Linked DNA regions of Bombyx mori. The protein of the gene in region 1 purifies or fractionates together with the protein of each later gene. This does not show direct contact. Links are inferred from orthologs where the notes say so. Each region holds a gene or a part of one and is shown on either strand. Other genes may lie near its edges.

Evidence for each region.
Region 2: the proteins of Lkb1 (region 1) and COP9 signalosome complex subunit 3 purify together in Homo sapiens (affinity purification with mass spectrometry; 5 studies listed by BioGRID and IntAct, with this or other methods). This does not show direct contact. The link is inferred for Bombyx mori from reciprocal best matches to the Homo sapiens genes STK11 and COPS3.

Annotation. Positions count from the first base shown.
Region 1 is NC_085128.1:6,913,407-6,924,064, forward strand, and holds part of Lkb1 (serine/threonine kinase LKB1), read right to left. Parts: intron 8,747-10,658; coding exon 8,586-8,746; intron 4,179-8,585; coding exon 4,057-4,178; 3' UTR 3,672-4,056; coding exon of another isoform or gene 2,727-3,671; 3' UTR 1-2,726. Other genes in the region: uncharacterized protein LOC134200964, read right to left, coding at 2,727-3,671. UniProt on the Homo sapiens protein: Tumor suppressor serine/threonine-protein kinase that controls the activity of AMP-activated protein kinase (AMPK) family members, thereby playing a role in various processes such as cell metabolism, cell polarity, apoptosis and DNA damage response.
Region 2 is NC_085119.1:8,365,213-8,374,648, forward strand, and holds the end of COP9 signalosome complex subunit 3, read right to left. Parts: intron 8,704-9,436; coding exon 8,486-8,703; intron 7,338-8,485; coding exon 7,140-7,337; intron 6,787-7,139; coding exon 6,634-6,786; intron 6,488-6,633; coding exon 6,356-6,487; intron 5,275-6,355; coding exon 5,092-5,274; intron 4,757-5,091; coding exon 4,676-4,756; 3' UTR 4,622-4,675; downstream 1-4,621. Other genes in the region: uroporphyrinogen decarboxylase, read left to right, coding at 2,752-2,769, 2,841-3,128, 3,197-3,355, 3,439-3,582, 3,706-3,861, 3,948-4,115, 4,435-4,578. UniProt on the Homo sapiens protein: Component of the COP9 signalosome complex (CSN), a complex involved in various cellular and developmental processes.

The DNA.
Region 1 (10,658 bases):
TTTCTGAACTCATAATACTGTAATTCATTGAACGACGTTGCCCTATTTATTATGAGCCACTCAGTACTTTATCGTTTAGTTAATTAAAAAACACTCACACAAATTTGTACTTTTCGTTACAATTAAAAAAAAAAAAGGATAAATAATTCGTATCGGTTCGCCAATGTAAATACTTTTTTTGCGTTTTTTGCAAGATGTAGCTCGATTTTAATAAATAATCGAACAATACGATGCCCGTAAATTTGCATATCAAAATAACGTCATTTATTAACCGACTTTAGTACTGAGCGGTCGGCATTATGCAAAACATTCAAAGTGCAGTCGAACAAACAATAATACTTAATAAATTTTAGGTATATATTTCAGATATGTATTCGCAAATTAATTCACGCATCGATTTAATATGTAACTAATATGAATTAACGTGATCCTCAATGTTCGGCAAGTGACAAACTAAGTCCTATGTAAGTATAAAAATATTTATATCTCTTTATTGCCACTGTAATTTGAGATCTACTCAATTACGCTAAAAAACGCTCTAATCTTATACAAACGCGCCAACAATAGTTTAAAACAGGTACTACTTTACAAATGTATATGTCAATTGTAACTAACGCACTATATTAAGGGTGCAACAAAATCTCTATACATATAAAAATGACTTATAAAAAAAAACGTACATTAACAAACAAAACGACATTCAGAAATGAATACTAGTGGTATGTATGTATATACTAAATCATATGATATACCGCGATACAAAATAATGTTTTACAAACAAATTCAAACTAATACCATTAAGTATTCATACCGTAGACGAACTCTTTAACTCATCATTAAGTTAAAATAGATTCTGTAATGTAAGTTCACAGATAAACGACACCGCGTGCAAACATACGTCGTAAATACTATGAAATCGAATGTTTAAACAACAAACAGCAGAGAAAGTTGGCAACACTAACAATCCGGAATATATTTTAACAAAAGCAACACTGAACATAACTTTGCTGTATTTCTAAAGTCGAAAACAGTTTTGTTTACGTAAACAAATATTCTATTCAATTAAAGTTTTACGACTTAATTACTAGAACACAGTTCTTCCAAGAGGCATATTTATCATATTATGTCGAAAGGATTTAACAAATTTTACATATTTTCAGTAATATCAACAAATTTATTTTACATTACAATATTGTTTTAATATTTCTTTAGCACATTTCTAAAGTATCGTTACGTTATTTCTCGACACGTAAAAGCCATTTTCAATTACTCATTACATTTACTTAACTTGTTCTAATACATAATCTGCAAATGAAAAATGCAGTTACGGTGGGATAAATACAGAGTATTATAATTATATATATATTTCAACAATTCAACGTAACGAGACCAAACGAGATGTACTATTTTAGAATCAGGCACTTTATTTCTTCAGTTGGCAGTACAATTTTATTCGATTATTTTAATAGTCGTCTTGGAGGTTTGAGTTTTGGTGATTTGGATCATGTGTCAAGTAAATAAGTCGTAAAGTGTAATAATCGGGTCGGATCTTGAGCGTTTGTTGTCATCGGTGCGTAGGGAATTTTATAGCTGTTTGGTTACATGAAGACGAACACGATATCGGGACGATTCATTCTTGTTTGCATCGATTTACATTTTTGGACAGGACGTGTTATGATCGTATCGACAGATCAGAAAATATTTTTAATATCTTTTATAGAAAAATAACATATCAGCTCTTTGTTTAGGGTTTTTTTTTAAATTAAACAATAGCTTCTTTTCTAAATAATAATTAATAAATATATTTATGTAAGATCTCAATTAGTATGTACAGAAGCTAAAGTTGAAACATCCTTAATGTGTGTTTATCAGAATAATTGGAGTTCAACCTCTTTAAAAAACCAGTTACGGGTAGTTCTTGCAAGCGCGTCCGTGCGTTCATGGACAGCTGCACCAACAACGACCCGTATCCAATTTGATAAGGAAACTGCCTTCTGTCGCGAACTGTGCATCTGTCCTGCCCACACCCGCCAAGCAACTATGCTTATTCAAGGTAGCTTCACGGTTCATTCTACGGGCGGTAACAAGCATACAAACAATTCAGTGCAACATTGTATAGTCCAGATTTCATACTATACAATTTTTTTATTGCTTAGATGGGTGGACGAGCTCACAGCCCACCTGATGTTAAGTGGTTACCGGAGCCCATAGACATCTTTTTTTTATTTATTGCTTAGATGGTTGGACGAGCTCACAGCCCACCTGGTGTTAAGTGGTTACTGGAGCCCATAGACATCCACAACATAAATGCCGCCACCCACCTTTGAGATATAAGTTCTAAGGTCTCAAGTATAGTTACAACGGCTGCCCCATCCTTCAAATCGAAACGCATTACTGCTTCACGGCAGAAATAGGCGGGGTGGCGGTACCTACCCGTACGAACTCAAGACTACCACCAGTAAAATAATATACATGAGACCTTGTATAGAAATATTACACCGTTACTAATTTTTTATTTATTTAAAGAGCTGTTCAAGATTCGAGCCGGTGCTTTTATTATTTTTTTTTTTTTTGTAACCGATCCCCGATATTATTTCGTCGAACGCTCAAGATCCGAGCCGGTGCTGTTGTTATTATTATTATAGTGTATTAAACACTGCCACGCCTGGGAAGACGGCAGGACACACTCCGGCGAGGTGGGCAACAATCGGCCGGAGCGTTAGGGACTATTGGGAGAGAAACCGGCGAACTATACGGGCATTGTCGAGCAAGACTGCTTTTTGCATTTGGGCCACCACCGACTTTTTATTGAGACCAAGCCTCTCGAGATGTTTTGAGAGACTTTTAGGGACCAAACCATTCACCGACACAACTACCGGGATTATTTCTGTAGATACCACCCTCCACATATCGGTCACCTCGTGCGCCAGGTCCAAATATTTGGTCTTTTTATCTGCCTCGGCCCGCACGAGGTTCTCGTCGTAGGGGATGGTGATATCCACCAGAAATACCCGAGACTCCGTCTGGTCCATCAGCACGATATCAGGCTTATTCGCAAGAATAGTCCTGTCCGTAATGATGGGCCGGTCCCAGTAGAGCTTGGCACGGTCGTTTTCGAGTACAGCGTCCGGCTGGTACTTATAATACGGTAGCCTCTGTTCGATGAGGCCATACTTAAGGGCGAGCTCTTGGTGGAGGATTCTGGCTGCTTGGTTATGTCTGTGCAAGTACTCAGTGTTAGCAAGCATAGAACAACCAGAGGTGACATGTCTGAGGGATTCACCCGGTCGGCGGCATAATCGACAGATGTCAGCTGTCCCATCCCTCAGAATGTGCTTCCTATAGTTGTTCGTCCTGATAACCTGATCCTGTATTGCACAGACAAAACCCTCGGTTTCCCCAAAGAGGTCACCGAATCGCAGCCAGTGCACGGAGGCTTCTTTGTCCACGTGGGGCTCATGCAGTGCCTGAAAGAAGCGTCCGTGCAGCTCTTTCCCTTTCCATATGGCCTCACGGTCAGAGGTACTGAGTACCGCCGGTGATTGCCACCCGTCTCTGGCCAGGGCTAGCGGGGTCAGTCCTTTGTCGCACTCCATGACCTCTCTGTGCATCACACTGTCAGCCCTCGATAGGAAATATTTCCTGAGACTGCACACCCCACTGTTGTGCATGACCTTGGCGCTATTATTACATTATTATTATTATTATTATTATTTTATTACTTATTATTATTATTATTATTTTAACCGATTCCCGATACTATTTCGCCGAACGCTCAAGATCCTTTCCGTGCTTTTATTATTATTATTATTTTTGTAACCGATCCCCAATATTATTTCGCCGAACGCTCAAGATCCGAGCCGGTGCTGTTATTATTATTATTTTTTTGTAACCGATCCCGATATTATTTCGCCAGACGCTCAAGATCCGAGCCGGTGCTGTTATTATTATTATTATTCTTTTTTTGTAACCGATCCCCGATATTATTTCGTCGGACGCTCAAGATCTGATCCGATGCTTTTATGGAGGCAGTTTATCTGCTGCGTCACGCGTCCATCACGTGAGCCGGCACGAGGGCAGCCGGCCGCACGACGAGTGCCATCGCCTCTTGTGCTGCCCCGATCCTCCGTCAGACAATTCCGCAGTCGACATCGTCCGGGAGCCGCCGTCACCCAGCCCTGGAAACGATTAAACAAACGATAAAAAAAATTAAGAATCAATCTCACCTTTTTTTTCTACCTATTCTCTAGTAACCTCGAGGAGTTATTCTAGATTCACCGAGCTAGTAGCTGAGCTCACGGGGCTCAAGCAAAGATTATACAAAGATTTAGCGATTTAAATTTGAGTCACTATTTAATACTATAGAAGAAAAAAAAATTGACTCTTACTACTGGATACATACATACACTTTTTTTTTCGTACCTTATCTGATAGCCTTGAGAGGCTGTCAGCGTAACTCTAACGTGTAGGTGATCTCACGGGGCTCAAGCCGGGAATGTTGCTAACACTGGCCCTAGCAAGAGCAGTGCTTCGCAGAATCTATCACCGGATCGGAAACGCAACCCACTGAGAAGATCCGGCGAGCAACTCAGTGGACTGTGCCTATGGGTTAATTTACTCGTCGAGCCCTTCGTCAGAAGAGACGGGTTCGGCGACGGTGATCGATAATCTCACAATGCACTTATGTATGTATAGACATTATCTTTTTTTTTATTAATCTCACGGCGGACTTGAGTTTTCTATGGGAGAGTTTTTCGAATACATGCGTTTAAGACGTTTTTTTTATTATAACGCAATCAGTGGTAGGAGATCGCCTAGTATATCGCGGATTCGTCGCTTGTATTCGAGAAACTATGTACATATTCAGCATAGTATAAAAAAAGGTTTTATGAAAGCGATTTTTTTCAGTAGCGGGCTCTTTGTTAATAAACTCTATTTGGATTTAATAACACGATTAAACAAGATATTAGTGTTTATTTACTTGTCTTGGGATGTTTCTGACACTTCTACGATATGCAAGCATTACAGTTTTTTTTCATAAATGTTATTTTATTATTATTTGTTATTGTAATATTTCGGGCGATTGTAGTATATCACTCTTCATGCAACGAACCTAACTGAGAGAACAAACGCGTGCTCGGACTGTTCCGGAAACGCGCAACCCATCGCTCTCTGCAATATCAACAATTTCATTTTTCAAAAAATATTATGTTAGTTTTTGTAATATTTTAATCATAATAATGTATGCTTAAACAACTGTACATTATTACGAAACAAAGATATAAAAATACTGTTAGAGACTAATTGAATATGCAATATCGAAAAGGGCACATCTCTGAAAAAGTAAAATGTTCAGGAAATGAAAAAAAAAACTGATTATTTTCTAAAGCAGTGTAAAATTTAAAATATTAACTTTTGAGATATATTTTAGTGTTAATTAGCAATTGAAAATTACTAGAATTATTATAAAATGGGTGTAGGTAAGCCTCAAAACTACATGTATATGAAAAAAAGTATTTGACAAAATATGCGACATGTGCCTTTTTCGAAATTGCATATTCAATTAAAAGGAGTGGCCGGCTGTGGCGCTAGTATCGCAAATTTAATGAAGCGGAGACTCCACGCTACATACATTGATTAGGGTAGATAAGTTTATCTTCACTTAATTTGGGAATTGGGGGAGGTGGACGACCTTAGCCCTCCTCGTCTCCCTCTTTCTCTCTGGAGGCGCCGGAGTCGGACATAGCCCGGTCCGTAAATAGATTCTCCAGCGTTAAAAAAAAAGGATAAATAAGTTCATGGTCGCCTACTTTGTCTCATCAGATTTAATGTTATTACATTTCTTTGTGGATAGTGTTAAACATTGTTATATTAGTAATTTTGTAAATATATTGTTACAATTCTCTAATTTCAGAGGAGAATCATACATTTTATTAAAATTATAAACTATATAAATTATTAAAAAAAATATTTGATATTTTAATCCTGAGCAACGATATTAGTTAATTACGCATTAATATCTTGAACTAGCAATTTGATTATTTTTTTGGCAAATTCCGAGTTGTTTGTATCTCCAATTTTGTGAAAATCAGCGCGCTGTCAATTCTTCTCAGTTTATAAAATGAGAGTAATTTAATCGTGAACAAATAAAGCAAACATGCGTGAATAAAGTGAATGATTAAAACGAAGGATTTGTAAATTTATAATACACATAAACCTTCCTGGTCAAACAAAATCTATTATTTACATTTCGATAATGGACGTTACACGCGATAAAAAGTTTCATCAAGATTTTTGTGACGATAGCATAAAATAAAATTAAGTTCATTGTAAGGCCTAAATTATTAGACGCCTGCGTGCTTAGTGCGAGTTTTTTAAAAGCACACTGATGTACCTACTCGTGTTGAACGATTTACGATTTTTTTTCAATGAAATACGTACTTAATCCAATGTTCACAAATGACTTACACAATGAAGGAAGGATAAATCAAATCCGCAACAAATATTATTTGTGTTATTAGTGATAATAGGGCGTATTGTGAACCGACATGAGCAAGTACCATAATACCTACCTACTACTGCCACAAAGCAGAGATCCGATTCAATTCAAAGGGTGCGAGAGCCAAATTAGAGAATAATGTTTCAAAGTGTGTCTCCGGTAACTACTTAACATATCAATAATAAAAAGATATACATAATAAAAATAATGAAAAAGGATCACAAATCACTGTAGTTGCCCACAGTTTATTCGGTAAGTAGGTCACGATCCTAAGCTACATTTACTTATGGGATGTACAGTTTACGAGGTTTAACGACACATTGGACACGTTGCCAAAAAGCCAGATGACAATTTAAAGAAGCCGGTAACAGGCTAGGTATGCGGAAGAAGGCCCAAAGGCAGAAGCCCAATGCATTGGTCGGACCAGATAAACTCTACTCTCAATACTTCAGTTCATTATGCCATCCGCTCGGCCAAGGATAGGAAGGTCTGGCGCAGGATAATCCAGGAGAAAGTTATTAAAGGAGCCTACGACCATCAGCATTTAGGATTATCGACGCAAGGAGGAGGAACGACAAAAGGAAGATCTTCTACCGAGCGGTTCAAATTGCTTGGTAGACAGGCCTTTTTTCCTACCTTAACCGTTTTTTTTTTATTGCTTAGATTAGTGGAGCTCACAGCCCACCTGGTGTTAAATGGTTACTGGAGCCCATAGACATCTACAACGTAAATGCGCCACACACCTTGAGATATAGTTCTAAGGTCTCAGTATAGTCACAACGGCTACCCCACCCTTCAAACCGAAACGCATTACTGCTTTACGGCAGAAATAGGCGGGGCGGTGGTACCTACCTGTGCGGACTCACAAGAGGTCCTACCAGTATTCAGCGTAACTTTAACCAGTAGGTGAGCTCACGGAGCTCAAACCTGACGACGTTGCTAACAAGAACCCTAGCAAGAGCCTTGCTTCGGAGGGTGTAGACAGGCCGTTCGAATGTGGTTCTTCGGAACTATATATGAAGACTTATTTTGAAAATATTGTTAGGGAGATTCAGGAATCTATCAAATATCTTGTGTTGTACGGTAGGTTCCGCTAACGACTACAGCTAACTAGCTACAGCTAACAGTAAGAGAAGTCTAATAAATAACACTTCTGTGAATTTTATTTTGTTCGTGATTATTGATGGTTATTTATCGTATTTAAAAATTTGCCATTTACGCAAAATTACGTAATTGATTTAAATCGCTGAGTTCATAAATAATCAATACATGTATTTTAGTCACGTCCTAATATTATCACATCTCAGATATATTATGTAATAACGATAGGTCTATATCGGTATTCTATAACGACTATATCGGTATTATGTGAAACAGTGAATTTGCTATGGCTTCCGTGAACATTTCGTTGCGTAGACTTTACACAGTCGAAAGAAAGTGCAAGAAATTGACATTATTAACGAATTTTTTTTTAACTTTTGCAGCAATTATCATTATTTAGTAAGACAATAGGTTGAACATTTAGTTAAATAAACCGGGGTTTATGATTTCCATTGTTGATTTGAAATCGGATTAAAAATGGCGGCATTGAAGTTTTTTTTTAATATGTCAACTCGACAAATATCTTTTTACTAGTAGTCCCGCAGTAGTCGAAATTCAACTTTAATTAATTGAAATTATAAGTTTGAACATTATTATGGTTCTATTGTCAAAGACAAAGAAAATATATTTCTATAATCACAAATTTCGCCAAGACTACATACACTATAGAAAAATAATATTAAAGATAAACAATATTAATCTATTCTCAATTTGACCAGAATTTAAGCAATAACAAAAATTTTACAACAATATGTGTGTGTTTATATATGCGTGTGTGTGTGTGTGTGTGTGTGTCAAATACATGTGTGTATAATATATATTTTTTATTGATTTAAAGTATTTTTTGGGAATAATTTAAAAAAAAATTAGCATTCTGCACTCCTCTATATTATCTATAAGTGTAGGAAATTTCATACTCCTTAGCCCGCGCAATTTTCGTAAAAAGTTTTGCTAAGTATTAATTCACAGATTAGTGTAAACCAACCTTGCCGCAGGTCCCTTTCGGTGAAGTATTCCTGCGCAGAAGCGTAATGCCTCTCGACGAGATACGGTATTACAGTCGAAGTGTGAAGCTCGTCGGAACGTCGAGATCTCGGATTCACTAGTTTCTCGCCCGGTTCGAAGGGCGGTGTTGCCTGCACCCATCTGAGGAATTTATGTCGAAATGTTTTTTTTTAACACGTTGACCAGGCCATGTAGGTCACCGGTGTCCTACACGGCGCCCTGAAGTAATTATATCGATTTTCTGTTACTAAGTTTTTTTGTTTGTTAATGCATATTTTAGTATTTTAAATCTCTTAGAAATAAATTCATTCTCATTATCTTCAGATTCGTCTTTCGCATAGTGTACTAGATGTTCCGCGCCTTAGTAAGATAATCGAAGAGAGAAATCGATATAATTACTTCAGTGCGGTCAACGTGTTAAATCATAAAATTTCTTATCATCATTATTAACGGGAGTCGTTTCGCTTCAAGTTTTACGTGATGTGCTGTCATAATTCGAATTTGATCAAGATTTACGTGATGTATTTCAATGATTCTATTCTATGAGGTACATATTATTATGACTGATTTTTGAAATAATCGATTTTATAATTTTAATTTAATTTCATAAGCAGTTTTTTTTTTCTGTAACAGACAACAAAAAACGTTCTTCACAGATATTCTTTGTATATTTACATTGTATAGCGTCAAGAACACAAACACACAGTTTATTGTTACAATTTTATTGTTACATACTATCCAATTCCGACGGTTTTTAATTGTATCCGTAACATCGAACGTGAACGACACCCAATCGAAGACAATCTGTGTGCTTAATGCGAGTTTTATAACGTTCTCGATAGCGTAAAAGTTAGCTCATATTTGTATGGAATGGGATAGTTTGCCGACGTTTGCCGTTAGGGGCGCTGTTTCAACTGCATAGGTAGAAAATTGGGATACCTTTTACGCTATAGAGAACATTAATAAACTCGCACTAAGCACACAGATCTAATGCATTACTTCTATAGTTTTATATTTTCTTTGGTTGTCGCGAGTCGAATACATAAGACTACATTTACGATCTTAATATAGTGTTTACCATATTTTACATTTGACATAAGTACATAATATATAAACAGTATTCAAATGTCGACGAACAACACCTCAATAGTCCGTGATCACGTAAACTGTAAAATAACCGACACGTCGGAAATAACAAAAAGAAAATATAGGAAACGCGAAATTGATACGTAATGGTATTTATTTTGCTTCTATAATTTCCTAAAAATTTTGATAAGAGATAAATATATTGAGTTGTAAGCTGTAACTGATTACGTTTCAGTTAGACCGTATTCGGTATTAATTAACATCGGTCACGCTTCGATTTCTTCACACATTTATTGAAACGATTCACGCGCAAATAAGAGCTATTTCTAGTGGTGGTAGGACTTCTTGTGAGTCCGCACGAGTTAGATAACAAATACCACCCAGCCTATTTCGGCCATGAAGCACTAATGCGTTTTGTTTTGAAGCCGTTGTACTGTAGAAACTTAGAACTCATGTGTTAAAATTGAGTGGCGACATTTACGTTATAGAAAAAAAAAACAAAGACATGCCAACTTCTGTGAAATGCGAACCAACTGTACAAAGTTCCGACTCATTTATATATAAATGACGCTCAAACGGATGTAGCACAAACAAAAAAACAAAAAAAACAACACGCTGATTAATTTTTTAACATTACAAGATTGTACGAGTATGTACAAAGCAATAATCAAATGCTTAACCAAACATAATTGTTAAACTTTGTTATTCTAATGTCCAAACACATTTTCTTCTCGAAACGATTCAAGTCGATCGCAATGTGATCCACGAACAAACATTAATTTACGAATTTCAAGTAGGTACCTATCGTCGTGCATTAAAATGTGTGTTCGGTTTGTTAACATAGAATAATATTTACATTACGGAATATCCTTGAAATTATGTCATCATTTGCAGCGTGTTCAATGTACATTATTATTATTATTCCTACCGTTTTATTGCAGTAAATGAAATCATAGCAGCGTTTTGT
Region 2 (9,436 bases), on another chromosome or scaffold:
TGCATAACATTTTTTGTTTCTCAGTCTATCGAAATTTGTTTAATAAATGCAACTGTGTTTAATCCAAAGCGACGTGCTTTTACACTGCATCTTTCCATAAGTGGTCCTTTATTTCCGAACAGTCCACAAAATCAACACTGGCGACTATGCAACTACTGATGCCAATAACCCATGAGTAACTTATTTATTTTATTTAATGGGCAAACGAACTCATCGTTACATATAACAATTAGACCACATATTATGTACATACCTATTATCTAAAGGTGGATAATCACTTTTCAATAATCTCGGGAAACAAGTGAGCAACGTCTAGAAAGCAAAGAAAAAAAATCAGAATCCTTTAAGCTTGATGATAATGATCTTTGATATATAACTAACGAACTGTTCACACATTAGTTAAAACACACAATATTGGTTAAAAAATAATTTTAAAACGTACCTACCTATGTAGTATTTTTCTTACTTTCTTTGATAAGTCAGAAGAACATAACTTTTCACTACGAAATAAATACGAAATCATAATATTCGAATTTATTTTTAAAATTCCGAAGTCACTCAAAATCCGATCTCAGTTTTTTTTTTTATCTAAAGCGAATAAACTTTATTAGGAAAGTGGGATAAAGGTTTGATACAAAAAATACTATATTGTGAAAGGTCGCCCTGTGTCGCTTTACAAAAACTTTGTTATCGTAGACCCCTCTCATTTATTTTATTTTTTTTCACTTTGATAGGTGCGGTGCGGCAGGTAGACGAAAAATCTCGCAAACTTTGCATAGGTATTTTAAGATTTACATTTTTTTATGATGAATGACATTATAGTGAAATGTATAAAGTAAGAATGTATAAATGTACGATTTCTTCTCTGCAGAAATAGGCGCTGTGAAGACAATACGCCCTTCCACCAGTAGATGCTGATTAAATATCGCAGGACACTGGTATGACAATCAAAGAACACTCCTGCCCGTTCTATTAGCTGTTATAACCTCGCCTTTAACGACATTCACGTTAAGAAGTAGCCTGGTTTTAGTCTAAGCAACACCAAACGGACACGGTTTTCGGTATAGAAATATAATAAAAAATGAATGAATAGATTAGTCTTCTTGAAACAACTAGCACTATGAATCTCTGTGCTCTGAGAGGCATTGAAGTTATAATAGACACCATGGTACCTCTTAGTGCCAGTTATGCAAATAAAATCGTTGAAATGTGAGACGTTCCTACTCAATAAAAAAAATTGCAACAAATGATTACACAATGTAGCATTCTACACGAATAAATTTTACGATGAAGGAATAAGATTTCAGAACTATAACTCTGCGAATGTACCTACTGCATTGTGTTTCTCTCCCTACCTATTCGCTGGTAGCCTAAGGGGCTATTCCAGCTACGCCCGGACTAGTAGGTGAGCGCACGAGTTCAACCTGGGAGTATTTGCTAACACTACCCCCAGCCAAAGCAGTGCTTCGCGGAATCTACCACCGGATCGGAATCGCCACCCACTGAGAAGATCCGGCTAGAAACTTAGTGAGCTGTGTCTGTAGGTTAGTTCGCTCGTCGAGTTCGACAAGGACGGGGGGCGGTGCTCGAGAGGCCTAAAAAACCCGAGAGTGAATCCTGGGGATCCGACAAAACATGTTTCGGGCGACGGCAGTTTTGCGTTACCCCGTCGCGGTCGAATATGACATTGTGATATAGCGTGCTTTTTTTAGTGCTTGCGAAGGTAGACTATGGTACGTTTCTGCTGTGAGTGAACAGTAACGGATTTGATTTTCTCCGTTGCGGTACCTAAGTCAAACCCTACTTCTGCATCGAAGACAAGACGCTGCTCGTCCACAATGAACCAAAGAGACAGATAAAACAGCGCGCATGGTTCGCTATGTCCACGTCGCGTCGCAATCATACTAGTGGCCCTTTGCAATGCTACCCTGGCTACCCAGCCTCAGTAGCTAGTAACCTCAAGCTTTTCACGTTCACTCACGTTCGGTGAAGCTAGTACATAATATTGTCCATAGATAATAATATAAATAATAATTATATTATATAAAATAGTAATTTAATATTTAAGAATAGTCTCTCAAGCTTCTTACAACTTACGCATAGTTGTTAAATATAGCCACTGACGTATGAAACCTAATAGCACATATCGTAACTTGTAAGACAGCAGTGTTTGATATCTGATGTCAGTGTCAGTAATCTTATGTCGATTTAAAAAACTCAGACCTTTTTGGCGGGAGTGCGAAGAGTGAATTTGTTTGAATTTTTTATGTTTTTCATTTAGTGTTTCTTTAAGTTTCACTGTGTAATAACGGTGGCTTATTAACTATTGAGTATCTTTGAAAGTCCACAAATGTGGTAAAATAACAAAGCTACTGAACGTACATAGCTAATCGGTTTTTTTCAAAAAATTCACTGAAAAACTCTTAAAAAGTATTAACCTTTTTACTGAGACTTTATGTTTAATTTCATTCCAATTGATAAAGTCTCAAAATAATCAACTGCATCTCAGTTCGCTATCATATCCATATAATAACGGAATATAAAACTTGGCTTAAAGGTCTTGTTACAAGGCCATATAATATTAAAAATAAATAAAAAGAAAACAAAACTCATTAAAATCAGCTGGATAAACCAAGTCGGCCAATACATTAAATGTACATACATTAAAATTAATAGATTTTTTTATTTTACTCATAATTCATAATTTGGACCTGGTTAATTATTTTTTAATCAAAATCTTTCATTCATAACATGGAGTACTCTAACAAGGTAATAGCAGTTTGCTTTTGTGCATTTTACTAGACTTTTCACTATTAACAAAATCTTTGAATTTCCTTCAGAATTTTCCAGAATTGAAAAATGATAGACTACTTCGAGCAGCTTTAGGAAAAAGTGTTGACAAAGTCCCTGTTTGGGTAATGCGACAAGCTGGAAGATATTTACCAGAATTTCAGGAAGTCCGAGTTAAACACGATTTTTTCACGGTTTGTCGAACTCCAGAATTAGCTTGTGAAGTAACACTGCAGCCGCTCAGAAGGTATGAGCACTTGGATGCATCTATAATATTCAGTGATATTCTTGTGATACCACAAGCACTCGGCATGACTGTTGAAATGCACCCTGGAGTCGTAAGTAAAATCCAATTTAAAAATGCTCTACCCATTCTTGACATCATTACAAAAAAATGTATTTCTAGGGTCCAGTATTTCCTAAACCACTTCAAACCCCATCAGAAATAGATGGTCTCCAACCAGAAGGTGCAGTTTCAAGGTTGGATTATGTTGGAAAGGCTATCACACTGACAAGACATAAAATAGATGGTAAAGTTCCCTTGATTGGCTTTACTGGAGCTCCGGTAAATATCACAAATATTTAGGTATAATTTGATGCCATTGAAATATACTCATGTATTTAATTAATTTTGGGATAAAATTTTAGTTTACACTATTTGGATACATGCTAGAGGGTGGAGGAAGCAAAACAATGTCTAAAACAAAAGAATGGCTCGAGAAGTATCCTAAAGATGTCCATAGACTCCTTTGTCTTCTTACTAATGTTATAATTGACTATGTGGTGATGCAAGTAAGTTTGAAATAGTATATTTTTTGCTAAAAACATAATCGATCTTAATGTATCTTGAAAATCAAATATATTTGTTCAAATGGAAATGTATATAATTATATGTATATGCATGTATAACTGAAGGTGGAGAGTGGAGCGCAACTTCTGCAAGTATTTGAATCAAGTGCAGATCACCTCTCAAGAGAACAATTTACTGAGTTTTCTATTCCATATTTGAAAGACATTAGAAGTGGAGTTAGAGCTAAACTTACAGAAAAATCTTTAGAACAGGTTCCTATGGTAAGTTATTTATAGTAAAATAACTTGTAAATAACATGCTCTAGAGATAATCACACAATTAAGAATACTTATTATATTATTTTCAGACCATATTTGCAAAAGGAGCTGGACATTCCTTAGATATTCAAGCTCAATTAGGTTATGAAACCATTGGACTAGATTGGACAGTGGATCCTACTGAAGCCAGGAAAATTGTAGGTGAAAACATTACTTTGCAAGGAAATCTTGATCCTCAGGATTTATACAAAACTCCTGTACGTAATGTATTATAAATTCTTCTGGTGACGTAAACTTTCATTTCATTCATTTCAGTGTCATGAATAATGATGACAAGCTTTTTTTATAAAACCCAGATTTAAAAATTTTTTTTGTTAAACCTGAGTTAATGTGCCGTACTTATTCATTTTAGCTTGTCTTAAACTTAACTTTGAAAAACAAAATACTTTTTAACGCAATAACTAAATTTAAGAAATTACACTTTTCATGTATTTTACTTTATTTACATTAGTAAAATCGAATTAACAAGAAATTAAGATGAAATTAGACATGTTTTTAAGAATTATTTCTTTGCAGGAAGAAATAAAAACACTTACAACTGAAATGGTGAAAAAGTTTGGAAAACATAGATACATAGCTAATTTGGGTCATGGGATTACACCACAAACCCCACTTGAGAGTATGACTGTTTTTACTGAAACAGTACATGAAGCTATATAAGAAGAATATTTTTATGCATGTTATATGGTTGGGAATTAAAGAATTTGCTTGTTAATACAGAAAACTTTTATTCTTAGCATACAACAAATAACTTATATTACATTGTGTATGTTGTCTTCGTATTTTGACTTGTGCCGGGCATATCTTCATCGTGACTTCCAACTGATTTCTTCACATACTGTAATTATTTAATAAATTAATTACATAGTAGAAAAAACAAAAACGAAACTTTGAGAAATCTCCCTAGCTTAAAATAGGAGACATGCATTCTATTTGTATCAAGCAAAGCAACTATGCAGCAGTTCAGGTCCAACTTTTGTAAGAAAATACATAGGATTACGAAAAAAAAGAATTTAAATTTTAATTAACTTGGATTATTCTTTTCGAAAGGACTGATAATTACAGATGGTGACCAAAAATAATGAAAAGTTAGGAAGTAAAAATAAGAAAATATGAAAACAGTTCGTTTATAAAGTTCGATACTCAGTTAATGATTACCAGAGCGGTTGTTACCTGTGGATTGACTTGTATCTGAACATCCATTTCCTGTATGTACTGGTGAAGTTTAGTACAAGCAGCCATTTGCTGTTCTAAGACACACAATGTTTCCGGTGATGCATATTTTTCTGGACTATCTAGAAACACCACCATACCATCTTTTTGGTTAATCATTGCATATATTTCGCCTTCTTCAATCTGTCGAAAAACATTAAATGTGAAGTTTTGTGCCGTGTAACTCTTGTACTGTAAAGCTGAAATTAGTCGAATGTCTCTTTCTAGAGGTCGATGTGAATTGTTTCTTGCCCAGTACCTACTATACGTTTGAGTTTTGAAAACAGTAATTTATTTTTATTTTCTTTATATATTTATTTCTTTAGCGTCGCTTATTACCTACCGCACAATGGAAAACATGAAATGTTGCATGCATATTTACGAGTACGAGTTCTACCAGTGCTGCAGAAACAGCTCGAAGGATTAATGAAGCGTACGGCGCTGGTGTGGCAAAAGAAAGCACGGTACGGTTTTGGTTTCGACGTTTTCGTTCTAGAAATTTCGACCTTCAGAAACAATCGCGTGGACGACCGGAGACCACAGTGGAAATTGAAGAATTAAAGGCTATTGTGGAAGCGGATTCATCACAAAGCAATTCAGAGATAGCTGCAGGCTTCGGGGTAAGTGATAAAACTGTATAAATCCACTTGAAGCAAATCGGGAAAGTAAAAAACTTGAACTACAGTTTTCTAAAATCTGGCCAAACGATTACGGCAGATATCTATTGTCAGCAACTGCAAACCATAAAGGAAGAAATAGCTGCTAAACAACTGAGATTAGTTAATCGCCTACGCCACTGACATCCACCGTATTCCCCGGACTTTGCTCCGACATATTACCATTTTTTTCCCGGGATTTAGACAGCTTCTTACAAGGAAAAAAATTCAACTTCGATCCGGCAATCCAAACCGCCTTCAAAGAGTTTATTGATTTTCACCCCCATGGTTTTTTTAGTAAAGGAATTAATGCACTACCTATGATATAGCAAAAGTGCATAGATAACAACGGTGCATACTTTGATCAATTAAATATATTTTACAAAAATAAATTGACTCTTTATTCCTCCCGTACAAAACGCCAATATAATATTATTATGTTAATTATTTATTTTATCATAGAACGTTTGTATACTGTCAAGCTTCCCTTATTAATAAAACTAACTGCACGTCTTACAGAACATAGTTCTACAAAAATTTTTCAAGATACCTAATGTTATTGATCTTACCATATTAAGTATGTATGTTTCCGCTTGAAGAGGCCCAGATAATTCCACGCGAGAAGCGACATCGCTCAACGAAAGCGTTAAAAATGTTTTTGTCAATCTCTGAATATTCTTCTTATACATTGAATTTAAAACCTTAAAAAAAATTAGTTATAAAAGACTATTCATATTTTCCAAAATATAACACTACCTTAATTACACTGCATTTGAGTTAGTAAGTCATTATCAATCGAATAAATAAATTTTTCTATTTAATCTAAAGCTATTATTTCAAAACAGACCTGATTAACTAGTCCCATATTCTTGTCTCTGACAAATATCTCGCGGTGTTTGCTTGCAGCATGTTGGGATGCCACTAAATCATGATATGGCGCTGACAACGGTTTCAAAAACCGACAAACCACTTGAGATGTGTATTTCGGCATTGGCAAAACCTTTAAAAAGAGTTATTACTTAAATCATTATGTCTAATAAGAACAAAACTAAAAGTACATTATAGGAATAAAAAATTTATTAAATAGATTTTTGAAATAGAAATGAAAACCAAACAATTCTATCATGTCATGGAATTATTATTTTATACAAAATTTTTGTATAGCCAGGAAAACAACATAACATAAAATTGGATTCTTCGGTTTTGATCTTCCAATGGTACGACATGTATTTTTAGCATAGCTTGATTACATGCTTATTAAAAAATATATTAAGTTATGGCTTTAGTAAAAGTCCTGCTCACTGTATGGGTTTAAAATTGAGGTTGAAGGTATCATTGGAAGGAGTAACGTACCTTTCCATGAAGTATAAGAGACACTAAAATATATTTCTTGTATGCTTCCAACATGATGTGGGATACAACCATTGCCGGAACAGTCACTACAACTTCAAAGAAATACAAAGCTCTATCATAGTTTTTCATTGCTGTATAAATCATGCCCCCATAGTAATAATATAGTAGAAAATGTTTGGAATCATTAATACCGCCAAGCTAGAACAAATGAAGTTTTGTTAGCTAGAGTTATGAAATATAGTTTAGTTCAATAATATAATTATATTATTATAACTAATAATATTAATAATATAATAAATTAATAGTATAATTACTATTAACTTATTATATTATATATTTTATTAAATTAATTTAATAGTATAATTACTATTAACTTATTATATTATATATTTTATTAAATTAATTTAATAAAATATATAATATAATAAGTTAATAGTAATTATACTATTAATTTATTATATTATTAATAAATATATAATAGTCATAGCCTGATGATCAACCATCGCTACCGAAACACTAACATTTAATTATAATAAAAAATATACGCTAATTAAGTGTTCTCTCTTTTCGTACTTCGTAAATCTGTAATATTTACTGGTGGTAGGACCTCTTAAGTCCGCACGGGTAGGTACCACCGCCCCATCTATTTCTGCCGTGAAGCAGTAACGCGTTTTGGTTTGAAGGGTGGGGCAGCCGTCGTAACTATACTGAGACCTTAGAACTTATATCTCAAGGTGTGTGGCGCATTTACGTTGTAGATGTCTATGGGCTCCAGTAACCACTTAACACCAGGTGGGCTGTGAGCTCGTCCACCCATCTAAACAATAAAAAAAAACTGTAATACGTTTACTCTACTACCAACCCTTTTTTTTTTCTAGCTAGCTGAGAGCCTTGAGAGGCTATTTCAGCGTAACCTTAACTAGTAGGTGACCTCACGGGGCTCAAACCTGACGATGTTGCTAACACGAACCCTAGCAAGAGCCGTGCTTCGCAGAATCGACCACCGGATCGGAAACGCGACTCACTGAGAAGATCCGGCGAGAAACTCAGTGGGCTGTGTCTGAGGGTTAATTTACTCGTCAAGCCCTTCGTCGCAAGCGACCGGTTCGACGAGACCGATGACCGGTGCTTGAGGTACCTAGAAGCACCGTTAGTGGATCGGGATCCGAAATGACGTGTTGGGGGCGACGTCGACTGCTTTCCATTCTGTCCGCAGGATCTGGAATGTAGTTACCGGCGGCCACGATGAGAGGGTTCTCGTGTCGCCAATCCTTCAGAGGTAACACTATCATAATCATTTTTAAAGAATGAAGACAAATAAAGAGGATTAAAAGGCTACACTTTACCTCATTGCCAATCCCAGTGACGTCAGTGTCCAAAAACTCAAGAGCTGGCTTCATACATTTTGAGAGCAAACAGAGCTGGCAAAGATCAGCATGAATTGAGGTCAGCTGTGAATCAAACAATTGTATCTTTCTTATAGCCTTTTTTAATATTTCCAGGCCCCTTATTGGTTGTTTGATTTCTACCAAATGATTTGTGAGTAGATGACACAAATCTGCATCTGTAATTTTAGAAATTAAATACAATACAATCGTTTTTGTATTGCTCTAGACAGGGATCTCAAAGCCCTACATGTATTAAATGATTACTGCAGCCCATAAACTCAAAATACAAATTACACAAATGACTTTAAGACAAGGTTGAAGTTTTTTTTTATGAATTATATAGAGGCTATTTCACTAGTCTAGACTGCATGTCTGGAGGACTAAGTGGACTTGACTGGACTGGACTAGTGGTTAACAATATGCCATTCTAACAGTAATTTTTTTTGTGTTTCAAGCATTTTATAAATAGAGTGATTAATAATTAACTAATAGGAAAGGACGAGGAAGAAGAATAGTGTATTAGTGAAGAAAATTGTACTCCTTTTCATAAAAATAAAACATAATACTGATAATGAGAAGCAAGTGAAAGATTTGACTGTTATGCTAGATCAATGATGATTCATGAGCATAAAAAATCTTTATAGGTCAGTGATGGGATTGTTCATCTGACCCGTCCCTCAAAACATAACAGATCAGAAGCAGATCTAAATCAATAAATATTTGTAAAACCATTACATAAGCGTAAATCTAAAATACTTAATTTATTTTTATACATATTTAAATTGTTTTGCTAAGTTAAGATGAGAAAGCGATAAGATACTATTTTTTAAGAAATAGACCAATGAAAAAATTAATTTTAATATTTAAATTGAATTAATTACACTAGCTGCTAGTGACTAGCATAATAAC